Styela clava: one gene and its partner. The protein of the gene in region 1 purifies or fractionates together with the protein of each later gene. This does not show direct contact. Links are inferred from orthologs where the notes say so. Each region holds a gene or a part of one and is shown on either strand. Other genes may lie near its edges. The genes, in order: programmed cell death protein 10-like and uncharacterized protein LOC120341675.

Region 1 (9,228 bases):
TTTTTGCTACACAAAATGAGAATCCATACAAAAATAATTCCTCATTGAACTATTACGGTAGTTCAGAATAATAGAGAGCAAAATAGCACAATGCAACATAGATATACTTTATTTGGAAGCACTTGCTTATATGAAGGTTGAAGTTATACAAAAGTAAAAACAATGTGTGCACAGAGATAAAGAGCCCCATCAATTTAACTACAACATGCAACCAATGTCTAATCTTTAAAGCCAGAAATTTGAAGCCTAACCAAATGATTTTGGGCATTATCCTGACAAAATTGACCAGTTAAATTGTTAAATCCTGTTGTACATTTAAATGGCTCTACAAAAAATCTATGTCATCTCGCAAAAATATTAAATTAGAAAATCTTACTTTATCGTTTGAAGAAATCTGGGTCTGTCATGCATTTCATCAGGTATCCTCGATAATATTTGTTTTAATAACCTGGCTCGATCAGATAACTTGATGAATTCTGGTTCCTTGTGTTGTAATGCAAACTCTGTTACATAAAAGCATAACAATAGCAATAATGACTATAAAAATATCTTTATAACAGGGGTTAAAGATAATGGTATTATGAAAACTGTTCTCAGGAAGATATAGCCTGTACCTGCAGACCCAACCACCAAGTTATGTACGGAAGGACAGCACCCTAAGATTGTAAATAGAAAACATAAACGGGAATGAGCCTTCAAATTTATAATGTAATTATAATTTATAAACAACAAAATATCAAGTGTCAGTTGGGCCCGGAGTAAGAAAAAGGTTGAAAAGCACTGGTGTTGGTGTATGGCACTTACTTCACACAAAAATAGAAATCCAGGTACACAGCGTGTTATTTTTTCAAATTTTACTAAATTAGAAATTTGGGATTATTTTGATATGAAATCTTGATTCATGTGTAATTTGAAAAATGAGCTTGTAATTTTTATTGAATTTCTCTATCTTTGTTGAAAAAATAACACAAATAGTAACAGGCCTAGTAGAATAGGCACGACAAACTGTGCTCCACTCTTGCAAGCATAGTTTACCTGGGCTATCACGTCCCGACATTCGCAGTAAACTTTCTGTGAAATTAATTTCTCCCGGAACTTCTTTTTGTAATAATCCATTCAAGAATTCCTGTGTAAATCCTGGAACTTGCTTTTCAGTCTAAAATATTAGAGAAGATTTATCAGATGCAGAAATTACATTGCTGCTTGTCATTATAGGGAAGATTGTAAGGTTAAAGTGATATTATTCAGCCGCAAAGCCAAGTCCATATCTCTTATGACCACTGTTTGAAATTGGAATTCTATTAAGTCAGTACTCCTAAATAGAAAAAAGTAGTTCACATTTACCTTTGTGAAAGCATCTTTTAGCATCAAAATTGTCTTTTTGTCACATTCTTTAGAAAGCTGAAAATAAAAGTGACTATTAATCTTGGGTTCAAAATTGGTTTGAAAAACTTTTCAAAAAAATTGAAAAAGTATTGTAAATCATGAATATAAGGCTAGGATATATTCTCATAATATTTAAAAACATTCAAATGGCTGAAGGTTTTTGCTGCAAAACAAACAAAAATATATTTGTTCCGTTATGCTTCATCTAACCTTATCTTAAGTCTTATGTGGAATTAGGCTGGGAAACCTCAAATATTTTAGAGATTTTAAAAACTTGGGGTAAATCCCATTAAATTATTAGGGAATAACAAAAACTTGTACATGATAAAATATTAATAATACTTTGTATGCATGTTATAATTTAATACAATTCATGTATACCAAGCATATACAGGACATATTGACATCAACACAGAGTATCTATAATTCTTAAACCAGGCTTTTTGATAGAAGAATACAATATATAACCGATCACTACTAATTTTCGGAAAATAAAACATTGTGACAAATTGATTATAAAAAACATACAATGACTCTTCAGGTAATAAAGGGAATTACGAAGTAGTGACAATATAAATCATCGATCAAACAAAAGTGAGACATTGATGTGATTCACGTACATATGTAAGATATTATATTACGTAACCATATACGCTTAGTATTATGGTAGCTGTTCGCCAATACTATAAATAGCACAATTGACCGTCTAGCAGTGACGATAAAAAGGGCGTAGTCCACATGGTAAAATACCCTAGTTCCATACCACTTGTAACACTTTCAACCAATGACATCGTTCCCTAAAATTATTAATTAAATACCTTTATATAATAATATTTAATTATAGTTATTAAAATTCTTTATCCCATGCTTGAGTGTATATCAATTTTGTTCAGCGGGTCGTGTCTGTTTCACAAATAGGAAGAGGAAGTAACAGTACATACAATAAAAAAAATTATTTCATGATCATGTCTGATCAAGTGAGGGATGTAAATTTTTATTAGAATTGTTCGCATGGCCATGTTAGGGCTGTGTTTTTATAAGATTATACAGATATGATGACTGTGTTAAATTCTTGTTTGAACAAAATCACATCACTCATTCGATCTATGCATGCCCACCCACTATTTATATTTGGATAGTATACCAATCAATATCAAATTGAAAGTGACTGTGTTTCACTAACAATAGATAAACTGATGAACTGGAAATGTACAAAATAGCAGTGTTGCAATATTTTAAATACTGAAGAATAATGCTAACAGACAAAAATAGAACCCTCTAAAAAAGAAACCTTGATGTAATTAATATAGAAATTAGGAAAATATGTTACAGTAATTATATCACATATAGTACTGTATTATACTATGAATCACAAAAACCCCAGCCTTTGAAAAACTTTCTGAATCTCGGGAGTTATTACCAAAGCTTTGTGATGACATTACAGAAAAATTACTGTTATATTCAGGAATATAGAAAGTACATTGAATTGGCCCCATCCATCTTGTTTTTGGCATCAGTAAAGTATCCAAATTTTATTTATCTAAATATTCCGAAATATTTGGTAAAAACTATTCATTTCTTCACTAATGATTTCACTAAAGATCAAAAGAATCTGACTATCAAAATGTTATCGACTTCTTTTTGAATTGAAAAACCACAAAGGTGAACAAATATTTTTCGTCTTGGGGTTGACATAACTACCTTTCAGATCACTATAATGGAAAAACACTTGAGGTAATGAAGCACACAGATGATATATAACCAAGGAGAAATACAGATTATCCTAACAATTGTATCAATATTAATGTTTCTTTACATAGTAATCCAAATACCAGCTTCATAGAAATTTATTATAGTCTGCTACTCAAAATTCAAATACCCTATGCCAGAGCAACCCACCAATTTTTACCGAAAATCTGCATACAAAACTTCAAAATTATTCGGGTCCAGTGTTTCCAGAAATTATATTTTGGCATCATTATTAAGCACTTCCTCAACGGGCTAATGATTATTAGCTGATCAAGATTGTTTATTATGGTGTTATAGTTCTTTTCATATATAGGGCTATTCAAAACAATAAAAGTCATGAGGGGTGGGGCTAATGATCCAAAATAAAGAATTAGGTGCGCCCGAATCAAATATTCGAAAGGTCCGAATACGGACAGTGATACACCAGCTGAGTAGCCCTGCCCTATGCCACATTTCCATTTTCTAGTCCAATTTGAAAATGAAAACAACATGGAATACAAAACTAGTATGAAGAAGGTACTTACTTCATCTAGTACAGGAAGTAAGGCAACATGCAGTGACACCGATACAGGCTTCATTGAGTTTTGATGATCGTTTGATGATCCAGCCATCACTCGTACAATTAACAGATTTATGAAGTGATTGATTCCATCAAGCACTTCTTAAGATTAAAATCTATTTCACCTAATAGTATTTCTAAAAAGAATGACAATAGTATTGAATTATGATGGGCAAACAATATAAAGAAAGAGTTCATAAGAACACCACTCTCAAAATTGAGTTCAATTGAGTATCATTTTACTGGGTATAACAATGAACAACTACGGTATTATGACAAAGACACTAGTGTGCAAATCAGGATACTCAGAAAAAAAAAAAATTTTCTAGTCATATCTACTTGACAGTATAGGACATAATTAATTGGATAATTACATGAAGACAAACAGACATCACAAAGAAATGCTCAATTTGGAAATGAAGCATAACTGGGACAGAATAAAACAACGATTTCCTTCAATTTTTAAATATTCCTGTATAGGCCCATCATATTTGAAAAAAAAAACTTCTTTCATGCAAATTTAAAATTCCATCTAGCATTCAGATTGCAACAAAGTATACTAAGTTTTAGTCATCTCTGCAAATTTGACACAATGTCATAAAAACTGTTTTCGATTGCTATTTCAACAAGTGCAATTTTCCGGTCCAATCACTTACGGCTACCATGCTTTGTAAAACAGGGTGAAACTGTACCGAAACAATAGGTGATTTTTGCACACTAGTCCCAGAAGAACTGGTACTGATATTTCGAAAACTAATATTATCTTGGAGCATTATTCTTTTCAATACAGCACCAGATGTATATTTATAAAACACAACAGATCCATCTGAACTGCCTGACACCACTATAGTACCATCAGGAGATATATCAAAACCAACAGGGTAACCTTCTACTGTATGTTGATCGTACCGTAAATATTTATCCAGTCGATATGGACTTGTTGCATTAAACCGTGCTATATAATTCCCATTCGTCTGAGCTAGAAACGATGTCTCACTGGGATGGACACTCACAGCCGGACAAGAATAACGCTCGTGAAATATTTGGTCAGATAATTTAGCTCCAGTGGCAAAGTCCCAAACAATGATTGAATATTGAGCTGATTGCCTGCTCACGACGTCACCCGTGGCAACAAATGTTCCAGTGTCGGAAAATGAATCAATACTTAAAAGATTACCAAACTGAGATTTATACGATATAGCCTTTCTACCACTGCGAATATCATAAGACGCAAGAAAAGAATTTGCACCACCAACGAGTAACAGGTTATCATCTTCATTTGACCATCTTACTACAGAAGGAATCTCTGGTAATGATATACAAAGAGATTGGTTTCCTGAGCACAAAAAATCCCAAGTTTCTATCGTTTTATCAAATGAGCAAGCCACAATCTGTCGTGATGACCTGGACCAATCAAGATCTTTGTAGGAACGAGCATCACCACTTAACGATGAATCGAACACATAACGCATCTCACTACCTTTCATAACATCATACAATCTGATAGAATTATGTGAGGTTGTTGAAAGCAGATGACTGAATTTTTTACACCACTTGATTTTCCATAGTGGGCCATCAGTAATAACTTTACATTGACTGAGAAACTTAGAACATCTGTTTCCATGAGGATTCCTCAAGGTATTTTGATATACAACATCATCGGTTAAAAATATCTTTTTAATATCTTCAGAATTCGGCTGTTCCCTAACCCCTTTTACAACATCCGTTTCACGTTTTTGAGCACTTTTTCTTTTTCGTTTCGAAATATATGGTTTTATAATGGTGTCATCCATCAAAACTTATTGATTTTTCAATTTTTTCTCTTTCGGCTCTGTATTGTTATTATCATTAGAATCACTTTCTTCGTCGCAAGAAGAGTTTTCCTGAACAGCTGGTTTATTATTTTCTTTTTTTTCAAGCAACACCAGGTCAGTTAATACATTATTAACATCGTCTTGTAATAGTTTTAAATCAGTGCTCAATTCTAAATCCCGTCCATTCTTGGGATGAAGAAAATCAATTGTTTGTCCGTCGCGATATGTCAACTTTGCTGAAATTATTGGCACGTCCATCTGCTCAATACATTGCAAAATTATCGTAATACTGTATAACGAAAAATTATAAAAATAATTTAAATTGGTTGAAATGAGTGAGCTCTGCAGAATGTATTCATAACTTCACAACAAATAAACAGCCACTGCTGCACTGGTTTGTGGCATGTTCCAATGTTTGTGAGATTGTGAGAATTGTTGGCTTCAGCATACAGCATGCCCAATTTATTACATCTTTGAGGAAATGGCCGACAAGGGATATAAAACTTTTCATCCGTGACCCATTACATTTCAGAGTAGAAGAGAAAAACATAATATGGTAATGTATAATAGAGCAAACTCATAGTTGAATATGATGTATCAATATGATATTTCATGAAAGTTTTTCTATCACAAATATCGTGTCTGGAAAATTTGCCACAGGAAATTTTGCCGCATAGAAAAATTCGACCCTTGAAAAATCGCAGCACGAGCATTTTACTGTAAAACAAGTATTTGTGATAAAAACAGCTAGGTTTATAGGGTTAGGGCAGTAGGGTATGCTCTTAAATAACGAATCATTTTTAAATAAAATAATACTGCAAAAACCTACAGACAGACCTAACTTAACTGTTTTTATCACAAATACTTGCTTTACAGCAAAACGCTCTTGCGGCGAATTTTCCTATGCTGCAAAATTTCCTGCGGCGAGATTTTCCTACAGGGAAATTTCCTGCGGAGAATTTTCCTAGAACCCACAAATAGACTACATCCAAGGCTTTATACAAATACTGAAGTACCGGTACCGTATGGTACCGGTACCGGTATCTATTAAGGAGCTACAACATTTTAAATGGTCAAAATATTTCTATTTTTCAGTGAGGTTCTGGGCTTGAGTTCACCACTGAACAAATCTAAATCTGTCGACTGTGCAACTGGCTTACTTGTCACTCTATCATTAATGCCTGTACCGTATTGTGTATGCGGATATGTCTATTGACATTGTTGAATAACAGAATCACAACCTCTCGTGCGATCGCAGAATTGGAGAGTAGGTACTGCAGTACTGGTAGTATACGGTATGGGAGGAGTTACCGGTATGCTTAAATCTGAAGCATAAACATCAGCAAGCCCTACCACCAGACCACTGAAAATCGGCAGCATTTTCCTCAGAACAACAATAAAGAGCAAAAGAAGCTTCAGCAAGACTTTGAGCGAGACGAGGCAAAAATGAAACAGCACTTCGAGAACGCCCTCTGTCGGGGGCAGTCGTTGGTCGGGGCTATGGACCTTTCCCCGAGCATCGTTTTCCTTGTTTACTTCGCGACATTGGCCAATCAGCAAGATGCAAAAAATGACGTAAAAATGTCCCCCTTTTCGCATCCGCTCAGACACTTTTCTCACTCAGACGGATTTTCAAGTATGGTTGTAAACATTACCTCGTTTTCGCGTTTTTGAACTTTATTAGTTAGTTTTCAGTTGTGTTTCGGAAAATTACATATAAATCAGATAATTCAATGATCACTCTGTCTTTCCTAGGAGTTTTAATTTGATTGCAGTAATAAAAATTAGTGTAGAAATAGCTGTGATAGACTAGCCTGAAATTATTTACTGGTACTTTCAAAAAACAGATTGTTGTATTCGATAAATCATAATGATGGCTTGTAACACATACCCCATTTTACAAGCGCCAACTCGCAAAAGCACTCTTAAAATGGCCCCAAAAATTTTGCAATGGTAAAGTATAGGAAAATTTTTCCGAGGGTCAAAGGTCGGGGAAAAGTCCATTCAGTGTGTACGTAACATTTCGTATAGGGCAGGGGTTAGCATCACTGCGCAACCACTTTCCCCCTTAGATAAAAAAAAAATGTTTCAATAGTCGGTATTATCTGACGTAACTCTTATGTGTTCTTATTTTCATTTTCGTTTGTTAACATTCCGTTATTTATTCAATTTAATTTTACTTATCCTTTCGGGACATACGATATGGTTACAGAAATATGTTATGACGTAACAACTACGTTGTTGAGATCTCAACCTTCAACAAATTTTCTCGAGACAAACGTTGTATTCATATTTCATACTATTCCGTTCGTGTTTTTACAATTTTTTTATATATATTTGTTCGTGTAATATGGGTAAACTGGCACGTGTATTTCCACTTTATTTTAAATCTTTTTAGAGATTTTGCCTGTTAACCCGATTTCCCAATTTTCTGTGTGTTTATTGTTTTGTGTATGTTTTTATGTATGTTGTGTATCGGGGAAATAAGAATAAAGTCATACTCATTATTATTATATAGTACGCCTGTCCCGCCTTTTTCTCCATTTCTGGCTGATTTATGAAGTTGTAAAGCGCATGCTAGTTAGATTTGTTTGTTAACATATTGGTATAAATTGATTTCAAATTCTAATTCTACATATTCTTGTGAATCTCTGTTCTCTAGGAGTAGCCTGACGGGCGAAGCTAGTAGGTCTAGTTCGTATATTTCTATGAAGGTTGCAAAATATAAACACGATGTAAAATTTCTGTCAGCGGTAATGTAGCAGCAGAAATCTCACTGAAAAGTAATAAAATCGTTTTGTCGGACTAATATTTTCTCAATAGGCTACATGTTTTAAAGGTTTATCATTGTGCATTTTTTGCTTTGAAGGTAGAAAAGCATTGGTTTTAAAGCGAATAAATTCAATTTTGGTTTATTGCGTTTTCATATATATAAATATATATATATATATATATATATACCTTTAAATGTCAGTAATATTTGCTCACAAATTTCAGTTGGCACGTGGGAGAATTTTGTCGTTGAATTTAGTTGGTTTTGGCAGGTAAAACAAATAAGGTTGCCCACCAGTGGTCAGCATTCAGGACAACTACCGTGGATCCATAGCCGCTACCGTATAATTAGTATAAATTTGCAAGTATAAGTTTATTTTGACTCCATAATCAGCATAACAGATGATGAAATAATTGATTAAAACGAACAAATAAAAACTGAATATAGAATCAAGAGACCGAACAAAACCTTAAGTAAGGACATAGTGTACATGATAAGTTGAAAAGGTTCCGCCAATCGCCAAAGTGGTACGTAAACTACGTACACATACATAATTAACTCACACACACGGACACGCATACAAATTAATAGGCTACAGAATTTTTGTGCAACGAAAGTGGGACACAGTGAGTGGAGAGTGGAGAACCAGTGGTCGATAGCCATATTGTCGACATTTTATTAGCCGTAGATAATATATTCAGCTAAAATTTGTCATCATGGTGTAATTTTTCACACCCAAATCAATCCCAATTAATTTATATTAATAATATGTAAGAAATCCACAATAATATGTGAAACAGTTGTCCATTCGCTTAAAATATTAAGATAAAAAAACAAGGTAAGAGAATTACGAACTATTCACCGGACCAACACAATAAAAAATAAAATAAAAAGCAACAGAAAATGCAGGTTACTAATATAGAATTCATGAAAGCAGACAACTAGAT
Region 2 (9,327 bases), on another chromosome or scaffold:
TAATAACAAGTAACTTTTGAATAAACTACTATTGCTTGTTGTGATAAATAAAAGTCATATAATTACCTTTGTTTGGCTTCATCACCATTTGGAAGATATAAACGTACTTGTGAAACAATACAGCCATGAGTTACTAAAAATTAAAAATATAGTATTATTATATAGTGAAATAGTAAATTTACTGAGAGAGATGGAAGTATCTGAAGCATTACAACTAAATATTACCTTCTATATATAGAATGCTGTTATGTAAACCGCATGAGTAGAAAAATATCACTATATGTACCACATATTACATGCTATACCGTAATTTAAACTTAGAGGGTAAGCAATGGTGTGTATGACTAAGGATGATCATATGGTTTCATAATCGAGAAATTTGATTGGAGATTAGTTTCGAAATTTGATTATGTCAGGAATCATTTCCGTCCCAGGAAAGAATGTTACTATTTTTGGGGAGAAACTTCTGTACCTGCGTGTAGTATAACAAATATTGACTCATTTAGCAGTATTGTAATACAAATTTATACATTTATTACAAATTGTACGTGAGCCCTCATGCAAGATGTGCATATCATCTGCTAGTAAGCATTGCAAGGGGGAAAGAAGAGTTTCATAACATGCAAAGGGGGAATGTATTAAAAAAGGTAGGAAACCATCAATCTAAATGTATGAATGTATTCTGCAAAAATAACCTATCTGCTGGATTTTCATCCATAAAATTTGACATGAAACACTAAAAGCGTTCATGCATATGGAAAGTAGGGATACTTTTGATTGATTTAGTAAATTAGTTGACAACTGACATAAAAATAAACCAAAATCAATGTAGTTTATTTTATGCAAGGACATATTTTGTATTCATAGAATCCCCATCGGAGCCATTTGTGTATACCCTATTACTACGACAGGATAAGTAGGATTGGACTATTGAGTGTCTTGTTCAAGTGAATGAATTCAAACTCCTACTTGGGTATTGTTTGAGGCATGAACTAGAACAATTACGAGAGGTATAACCACAAAATCAAAAGTTGTTTAAATCAATTTGATTGTTCGTGGACACACATGACTGCATTGCTACGATAATTTAATTATTCAATATTAAAGTTTCAATATATCTAAAATTTGAAATTTAAGATAATTCAACTTTACAAGTGAGAATATGATTTGGAATTCAGAGGTGATTATGCTCATGGGCTTAAACAAAAAAATCTTCCAACTTAATATGAGTTATCATAACATAATTGTTATGTTATATTGAAAGGAATATCTACCAAGAAGCGAACAGTAAGCAAGGATCAAAACCGAATAATATACAATTCTAAATACATTCTGAAATAATGTTTGGATATGATTAATAAATATATTCTAATTGGGCCATGTTAAAATAAAACATAAAGAAGTCAAGTTGCATTGCATTCAATGAGTTTGAATTTGCAAATGCAGGAAGGTTAAGATGAATAGCCTAGTGATTTGATTGGTCAACTATTTATTGTATACCTCCTAATAAGGCCGTTTCATATATGATGTGGATTGTGGAGGTTAAAATGATAAATTTTGAAATGAATCTCCACTAAATTATTCCTAAAATCACGAATTTAAAACATCAAATATAATTAATTTAGAATTGATCAGTTTTGAACTTCCATTCGGTCAATATGCATCATTCTCTTTTGATACTTAATTGGCTTATTTTTGGGTGGTGGCTGGTTCTCCAGTTCGTACAACTTGCATTTTTAACAAAATTAAAGCCAAGTTCATGATATATTTACAGGAGTGGTATACAACAAATACAAAATTTAGATGCAGAAGAATATTATATGGAACACTCAAAAGATATTATATAATACTGTCAAAATTTCTACCAATACAATCAATGTAATTTCAATATTTAAAGATTGCTCCTAGCAAATCTGAATGAGGAACTTGCAACAAAAACAAATTCTTGCTTTATATAACTGGACTAGACTACCAGAACTAATCTTTAATAAACCACAAACTGATTTAAATATAACAATTAACAATGTCAGCCAATGCTATATAACTTATCACATCTCACTCAAATCACCACTATCTAGAATTATAAGAAAAACACCAGGTCACCTCTTCTTGAGTTCTCCACCACATCAACGCCGAACTGCACAATGTCACCAGAATTTACTTCGAATGGCATACTTTCTTCAGCACCTTTACTTAATCTTTGGTTATTTACAAAAGTCCCATTACTGCTTTTAGTATCTTTCAAATAAAACTGAAGAAAAAGAAACATAAGATTAGATTGATATAGCATACTATATTTTCATCACATTGAAGGCTATTTTTCTCGATCAAAGCAAATCTACACTATTGAGATGAAACATCTTGTACATTACCAAAGTAATCGTATAACGGTGTTAGAATATATATCATAGGCTACCTATTTTGTGTCATGTCTTTTGCTCAGAACAAGACCCTGTTACTACAAGCAAGCTGGTATCTAACGATATTTAGAGCTCCTATTTTCTAGAGGAATTGGGAAGTCTGTTACGGCATTGACAACTCAATTATTGAGATGGTAGGCATGAGATGTTTACCCTGCGATGTCTACAAAGTCAACTGTTGAGCCATTGTGCCCACACAAGTTGTTTTCATTTCCGATTTATAAGAACAAAACCTAATTTCATTTCACATTAATAAAGTTTCAATTTCATGAAATTCCAACTAAAGTTTACCTTGCCATCTTCATACCATAACAAGGCATGATTTCTTGACAAAACTTTACAGTCAAATATTGCATTGTTTGCTGCTGGTCGCGCTCTGGCGACTGAACGGCCAATTTTAGCTGGCTCCGTCAACGAAACTCTCCTCTCTTGGAATGGATGAGAATTTGTACGACAAGTGAATGTTGCAGTCATTTCTGAAATTATGATTTCACCCATATTTAAAATTTATATGAAGCAGCACTATGTTTTATCATTGAGATATGTTTACAACTCTCGTTTGTATAAATTAAAAGCTTGACCTTGATTTTCCAGTTTTCTGCAGTTTTGATAATTTGCCCAAATAAAAAAGCCAATATCTGAATATATATATATTCATAAGAGAACAGTAGCAGCTTGCAAGAACAATACATGGTTATTGACTAGCAAACTAAATGCTAAAAAAATAGCAAGTTCACTGATTGTAAGAACCAAAATCTTGATACAATACCAAGAAGCATATATTTGTCTCAAAATAATCTGTTCTCACCTGTTTGTACTTAGGGTGATATATCCTCAAATTGGAAATTGCTCAAAGGTACTTTTGCACTTCACCAATGTTGAAGAACACAATGTGTAGTTGTCATTGTAGTTGCAAGTTTTTAGAACTTCAAACCAATTTACATGATGCTGTATCTAGACTATTATCTGATCATAGTCATTGTCCGATGATGTTAATAATAATGTTGATATTGCTGTATGATGTAACAGTATAATGACCTCATGAACTAGTATATATAACTGTAATATATAAAAAAATGCTTTCATATCAGTATTCAGGTATTACTGTATTAAATTGGATGTGGAACACATTAATTAAGGGTGTTCAACGAATTGTAAATAAAACATAAATTAATGATAAGCAATTACAGAAAACTGAAATTTTTTATAGTTTGTGTCCACGTAATTCAATTTATTTTAACAGGATATAAATTAAATTATTATTTGATTCAAACCCTACACGATGCAGTGATCAAGGTTGATAGTTTGAAAGCAATTACAGAATTAAATATCAAAACTGAAGATTACTGATTATTCTGTTATTGTAACTAAGCGAGCAGTCGAGCTATAGGCCTATTACATTTTTTAATTAGCTGTGGTACATCCTTTATATAAACATGCATTTTGTGATATTGCTGTAGAGTTGATTTAATGCAGCAATGGCCAAAATGTAGATAGTATGATGTGATCAAATTTGAGTGTTTTTCAATGAAGTCGTAATTTTTTCTGTATCCCCAATTGACAATTCTATCTCCTAATTCAGCAATCAGCTTTTATTTATTTGTTTTTATCAATTATTTTTCGGCTGTTATGCTGATTATGATGTCAAAATAAACTTATGCTTAACTTATAACAGTATAACATATAAGAGGTGAAATTTATTCGGGAAAATATAATTGAAATAGAAAAGTCAGAAAGTTGAGCTCTGGCAGTCTGGTCAATTAAGTTGCTGAAAGAAGATCAGTCTGTCAGTATCAGTGTATGAGACAAGTTCAGGCAAACATCAGTCACAAAAATTTCTAAGTTAGGAATACAACATGCGGACATAAACCAACATGAGTCCGATAGTAATATCAGAATATTGGGCTTGGGCCTAATAAAATTATGATTAAAATACCCTTAAAAATATTCTTTCACTTGTCTAAGCTTAATTAAGATTTTGTCTAAACAGACACAACAAATTTGGGTATAGATAATTATCAAAGCTAAAGCTGGGAAACCAGCACCATTGCCTATATAGTCTACTCACAACCTCCTAAAAGTGCACAACCCAAACTTCTGATTCACTGTCCCAGGATTTGCTCTTGAATTCGAAATAATAAAGACAAACAAAAGGCATTGGGAAGGGTTTACGTGAAAAATGGATTTGATGCAGCTCTCGGGCGCCGCATATTGGATAAAAGAATAATGAACTTAAATCGTTTCAATCAAGAAAAACATTATCAAATCAAATAAAACAAGAGAGCTACGCCCAAATATATGCACACGTCTGTTCGCAGTACAGTACGGTTTACCGTACCGTCAGATCACAGTCTACAAATATATTCACACCAAGCGAAGCAGTACAGTAGGACACAAAATGGCGTCCGATGGCCGCAGAAAGTTTAATGACGTCATAGCAAACAAAAACAAATCTCACAGAGCTAGCAGACATATTTAAAATGAATAAAAGTAATATCTTCAACCACTGAAAATTTCAAAGCAATAGGTCCAGTATTCGAAGAGAAAAGCGTTTTTTTTTAATATTTCCACTAGGTGTGTTATTCTGTGTCAAACAACAAGAACAACATAATATTGAAACGATCGTTATGTCCACTACATGTCCAACAACAACATAATATTGAAACGATCGCTATGTCCACTACGTGTCCAAAAATGAAATCTAGTTAAGTCAATAATCTTGTCAAAACCAACATCATACATAAACCCTTTTCTCCATCGCGGGAAATTCCATTCAAATCATCATGAGTGGACATTTGGTCCCAAACATTTGGAAATCTTTCTTTTGTTTAGACTAAATGTAAAAATTACATTTGCCCTTGCACCAATGATATCCTGATGCAGGGTTTTCCAAACTGGGTGTCCGTGATGACTGCTCGAGGGTTCTGCAACGACCGGAAAAGAGCTGGGTCAATCTTCAACGATTGATTTCAATCAAAACTCCATTGCTTATTTTTGGTTGACTGCGGCGGACGAATATTCATTGCTGTCAGAAAAGTCAATTAAAATTTATTGCATTTTAAAACAGCCTACATGTCTGCGCAGCATTTTCAGATCTTACCAATATGATGACAAAATATATGCCGAGATATGCCGTAGAGTTGGATCTAAGAATTTGCTTGTCACAAACTGCCCCGAGAATTGAGAAATTGTGCATTGAAAATCAACCGCGTTCATCACATCAATGACATTAAACAACATGATGCGCAACTCCGGCATTTTTGTCCGAAGATCGTATTCGATAGCACGCTCCAATGCACATACTTGACGAGACGAAAACGAGCGGATGTGTGCTGCTTTCAAGGCGTAGCACGAATGGTGTTCGTGCCTGCTTTGACAGTTGTTGTCGATTTTAATGATATTTTTGAAAGTTGGGATAAAAAGAAATCGGTAAAAGGTAAGGTGAATACTATTGTTGTATATCACAACCGGGCATCGCACTGTTAAGTACATGTGGGAAAGCCAGCCTTTGTCAAATACTACGAAGTTATTAATTCAGTACGGTACGTAGTTGCCCATTTGCCGAAATTACATATTTACTTACTCCTTATGGTTTCAAATAGTTCATGCACCTCCAGTTAGATTTTTTTAATCAGTGAGGATATATACTCATTGTTGATTGCTGCTCATTGTAACATACTATTACGCATTCACTTTTATTTGCGTATTTAATCAAAGTGTTAACAAGTTCACCTAACATTTCACTCATACCGGTCTATATTGTATAGTCTGATTTCTCAAGTATTTGGAGCCACGAATGCTTGTAATTTTCTGACTAAACCCTTTTATTAGTTGGTTTATTTTCCAAAATTCAGTAAAATATTTTTTAAATAAAACATGAGATATTGGATTTATTAGCTTTTCCATTCTGAATCATATAGACTGCTTTATTTATTCTTAACGAAAATTAATAAATCTCCTCTCTTTCTTCAGATGTGAAAGTTGTGGACAAACCTGTCTAAGCATTGTGAGACTCTTGCAGCACAAGAGGCAATAGCAGAAATAGTAAGTATATCAATCAAGAAATTAAGCCGACATAAAGCAAAACTTTCAACTATTCGTCTAATCTCAATTTCCTATTATTTATTCACAGGACAACTATAGCAGACGTGGAGATATCAGAAGTCTGGTGACATATCAGTGACAGTGTGATTCCAAGAAATATAATGCAATTGAAAATAGAAAATTGCAATAGAAAAACAACCTATGGAGGCATGCAAAGACATTTGACCCTCCGGTAGAGTTGTGTATGGCCCCCACATCCTGCAGGGCTTGAGGAAAATAACTAAAAATTCCAAAGCGTAAGATTGCATAAGCGGTCTTATTTGTAAAAAGGCACAAAACACGCCAGACATACTTAAAACAGCTTTGGAAATGAGGATTACGGGTACCTCACTGCACTTGTGTTATATTTGGTTCATCAACTTTTGGTAGTACTATAGAAAAAATTCCGAAAGGGGTATAATCATCATTCATGATAAAATACTATAATATATTTTTTGAACAACTTCAATCTAGACCAGGGATCTCAAACTCGCGGCCCCAGAGAACTTCCAGTGCGGCCCTCGAACGCTTAACAATAATTGTAATAGTATTTTGGAATTTTTTTTTTTATTTAAATGTAATAGATTTTTCAAACCTTCTAAAGTGAAATTGATTATTCACACAGAAAACAATTTACTGAAAGTAGTTTTGGAATATTAATTTTTTTTGTCCACATTTTGACCCAATTAAGAATACACATCAAGCTAGCAAAAGAATACTTGAATAAAACACTTGAGTAATTAAATTAAACGCAAAGTACACGAAGAAGGTGGCATTTTCGAAGAAAATGGGAGTTGTAACATTTCTGCTCTTCACAAAATTCTGAAGCACATTGTTTAATTTGTCATATTTCCATCAATACAATCAAAAAACACAATAAGCTCAGCAGTCAATATGACAAATTCGAAGACCAACTTCGAACAGAAAATTTCCATGTGTTTGTATATTAATATAATTATACAACGACTTAGTTACTAAAAATCAATATCAATAATAATTCAAGCAATCCTATGCCACGCAATGTAGTGCGAAATGTCTTGTCGAAAAAATCTGTCATTTGTTTTTTTACTGATCTATACATGAAATGATAAAAGTAACTTTTTTGCATTACTGGAATTATTTAAACATTCGTAAAGATCCAGATAAACCCATGATCATGTGGCCTCGTTAGTTAGAGTACTATAAAATCATTTCAGACTGGCCTTAGTATGCTGGTGACACAAAAAAGATGCCAAACGCCAGGACGAATGTAATTATTAAAACATTGAGTTTATACTGTAGTATTTTTGTTAATTTTAGGTTCATATATTTAGATTAAGTTATTTTTAGTGTATGTATTATTCTTTCCTTATTCAAAGCTTGTTCAAAAATGATTTTGATGGTTGTACATAGAATTTTACGATTTTTTATAATAAATACTGTAACTTGCAAATGTTGCAATAATAGTGGAATGCAAATATTAATATGTAATTGCATTTGAAATTGAAGAAAATAATAAAACTTAATCCAACTGTTTAGTTGCATCACAATATATGTCACAAACTAAAACTATCTTAAAAATATCTTTTAAGTATACATTATCAAAAACTGTTTGCGGCTCTTTTTACAATTTTCAAAATGTAATGCGGCTCTCGAAAACCCATGAGTTTGACACCACTGATCTATTCTAGACGATTCAAGCATTGCTTTGGGAAATTATATCACTTCAATTAAATTGAAATAATCTCGCTATATTAAATACAAAATCGTTGCTATCATAGAGGTAAACCAATTCAGCCACTCGAAATATATTGGCCTTCACAAAGCAATGGAGGCAAAATTGAGAGTTCATGAGCTATGAACATTTGTTCTTTTCTTTGTCTTGAACTTCCCATACTCCACAGCCCCTATTAATTTTTTTTAATTTTAATTACCATGTGATGGTCATACATATCTTTAACTTGTATTTTCTGTCATGATGTATTATCTCAATGTGCCAAACTATTAATTTGTGTGCATATTTTGCTTCCAGATGACATAAATGTATTGTCATGTTTATTACCTCAGCTTGGAGTATTGACAAGAAAAAGGTGCCAGTAAATTAGGTAAAAAAATTTTCAACTCATTGTTATAATCAGAATTCACAATCAATAGGAATTATAAACAGCCAACAATCAGTGAGAATTATATGCGAAATCCCTCAGAATAAATTTGTCTAAAATCGGAGGAAGGCAAAAAATATAGGTAGTTTCCATTCACACAAGCATTTCAAGAAGACTTGCTCGAGCCAAACTAAATGAGCATCGTCAGGTGATCGGTAAGGCTGCAAGTTGAATTCAGCCCTGCAACCTCCTGCATAGAAGATAATATTAATTAGTGGGCTATGAGCTAAATTCCTAAATTTAAACAAACCTATCTACGATGCATTATGTACCAGCAATGTTACCTACGATTAACTGAATATGTAATATGTCTAATAAATTCACCTACAAAAGCAAGTTCGATAGGTGCAAACTTTGTGTTATGGAATTGTATCGCAGCACAGTTTTGTATGACACCCTCTTTAAATGAAATTTCAATGATTAAGCGCAAACATTAAAGTTACTAACTTTGAACTTTGTCATTATCTGCAAAATGTTCCACACAAATCTTTCCGCTATCGCGTTTGTAATCTTTTCTGATAAAAAAAAACGTCTATGATGTCCAGAATTGCTCTTTACAGCTTGCCTGTTATTCCAGCTTTCCAAGTAAGCAAAACTTCTTAGATATAGAGATTATTTTGTTTCGTTACAGGCGCAAAAAGGCAGGTACTACACGTAAAAAAGACGCCGAGTAGCAAAAGCGA

What was found.
Region 2: the proteins of programmed cell death protein 10-like (region 1) and uncharacterized protein LOC120341675 purify together in Homo sapiens (affinity purification with mass spectrometry; 3 studies listed by BioGRID and IntAct, counting the BioPlex papers as one, with this or other methods). This does not show direct contact. The link is inferred for Styela clava from reciprocal best matches to the Homo sapiens genes PDCD10 and SLMAP.

The regions. Positions count from the first base shown.
Region 1 is NC_135256.1:15,288,857-15,298,084, reverse strand, and holds the start of programmed cell death protein 10-like, read right to left. Parts: upstream 3,836-9,228; 5' UTR 3,747-3,835; coding exon 3,660-3,746; intron 1,402-3,659; coding exon 1,345-1,401; intron 1,157-1,344; coding exon 1,036-1,156; intron 504-1,035; coding exon 377-503; intron 1-376. Other genes in the region: WD repeat-containing protein 25-like, read right to left, coding at 4,312-5,487. UniProt on the Homo sapiens protein: Promotes cell proliferation. Modulates apoptotic pathways. Increases mitogen-activated protein kinase activity and STK26 activity. Important for cell migration, and for normal structure and assembly of the Golgi complex.
Region 2 is NC_135263.1:9,216,003-9,225,329, forward strand, and holds the start of uncharacterized protein LOC120341675, read right to left. Parts: upstream 3,470-9,327; 5' UTR 3,229-3,469; intron 2,897-3,228; 5' UTR 2,895-2,896; coding exon 2,712-2,894; intron 2,252-2,711; coding exon 2,104-2,251; intron 134-2,103; coding exon 67-133; intron 1-66. UniProt on the Homo sapiens protein: Associates with the striatin-interacting phosphatase and kinase (STRIPAK) core complex, forming the extended (SIKE1:SLMAP)STRIPAK complex.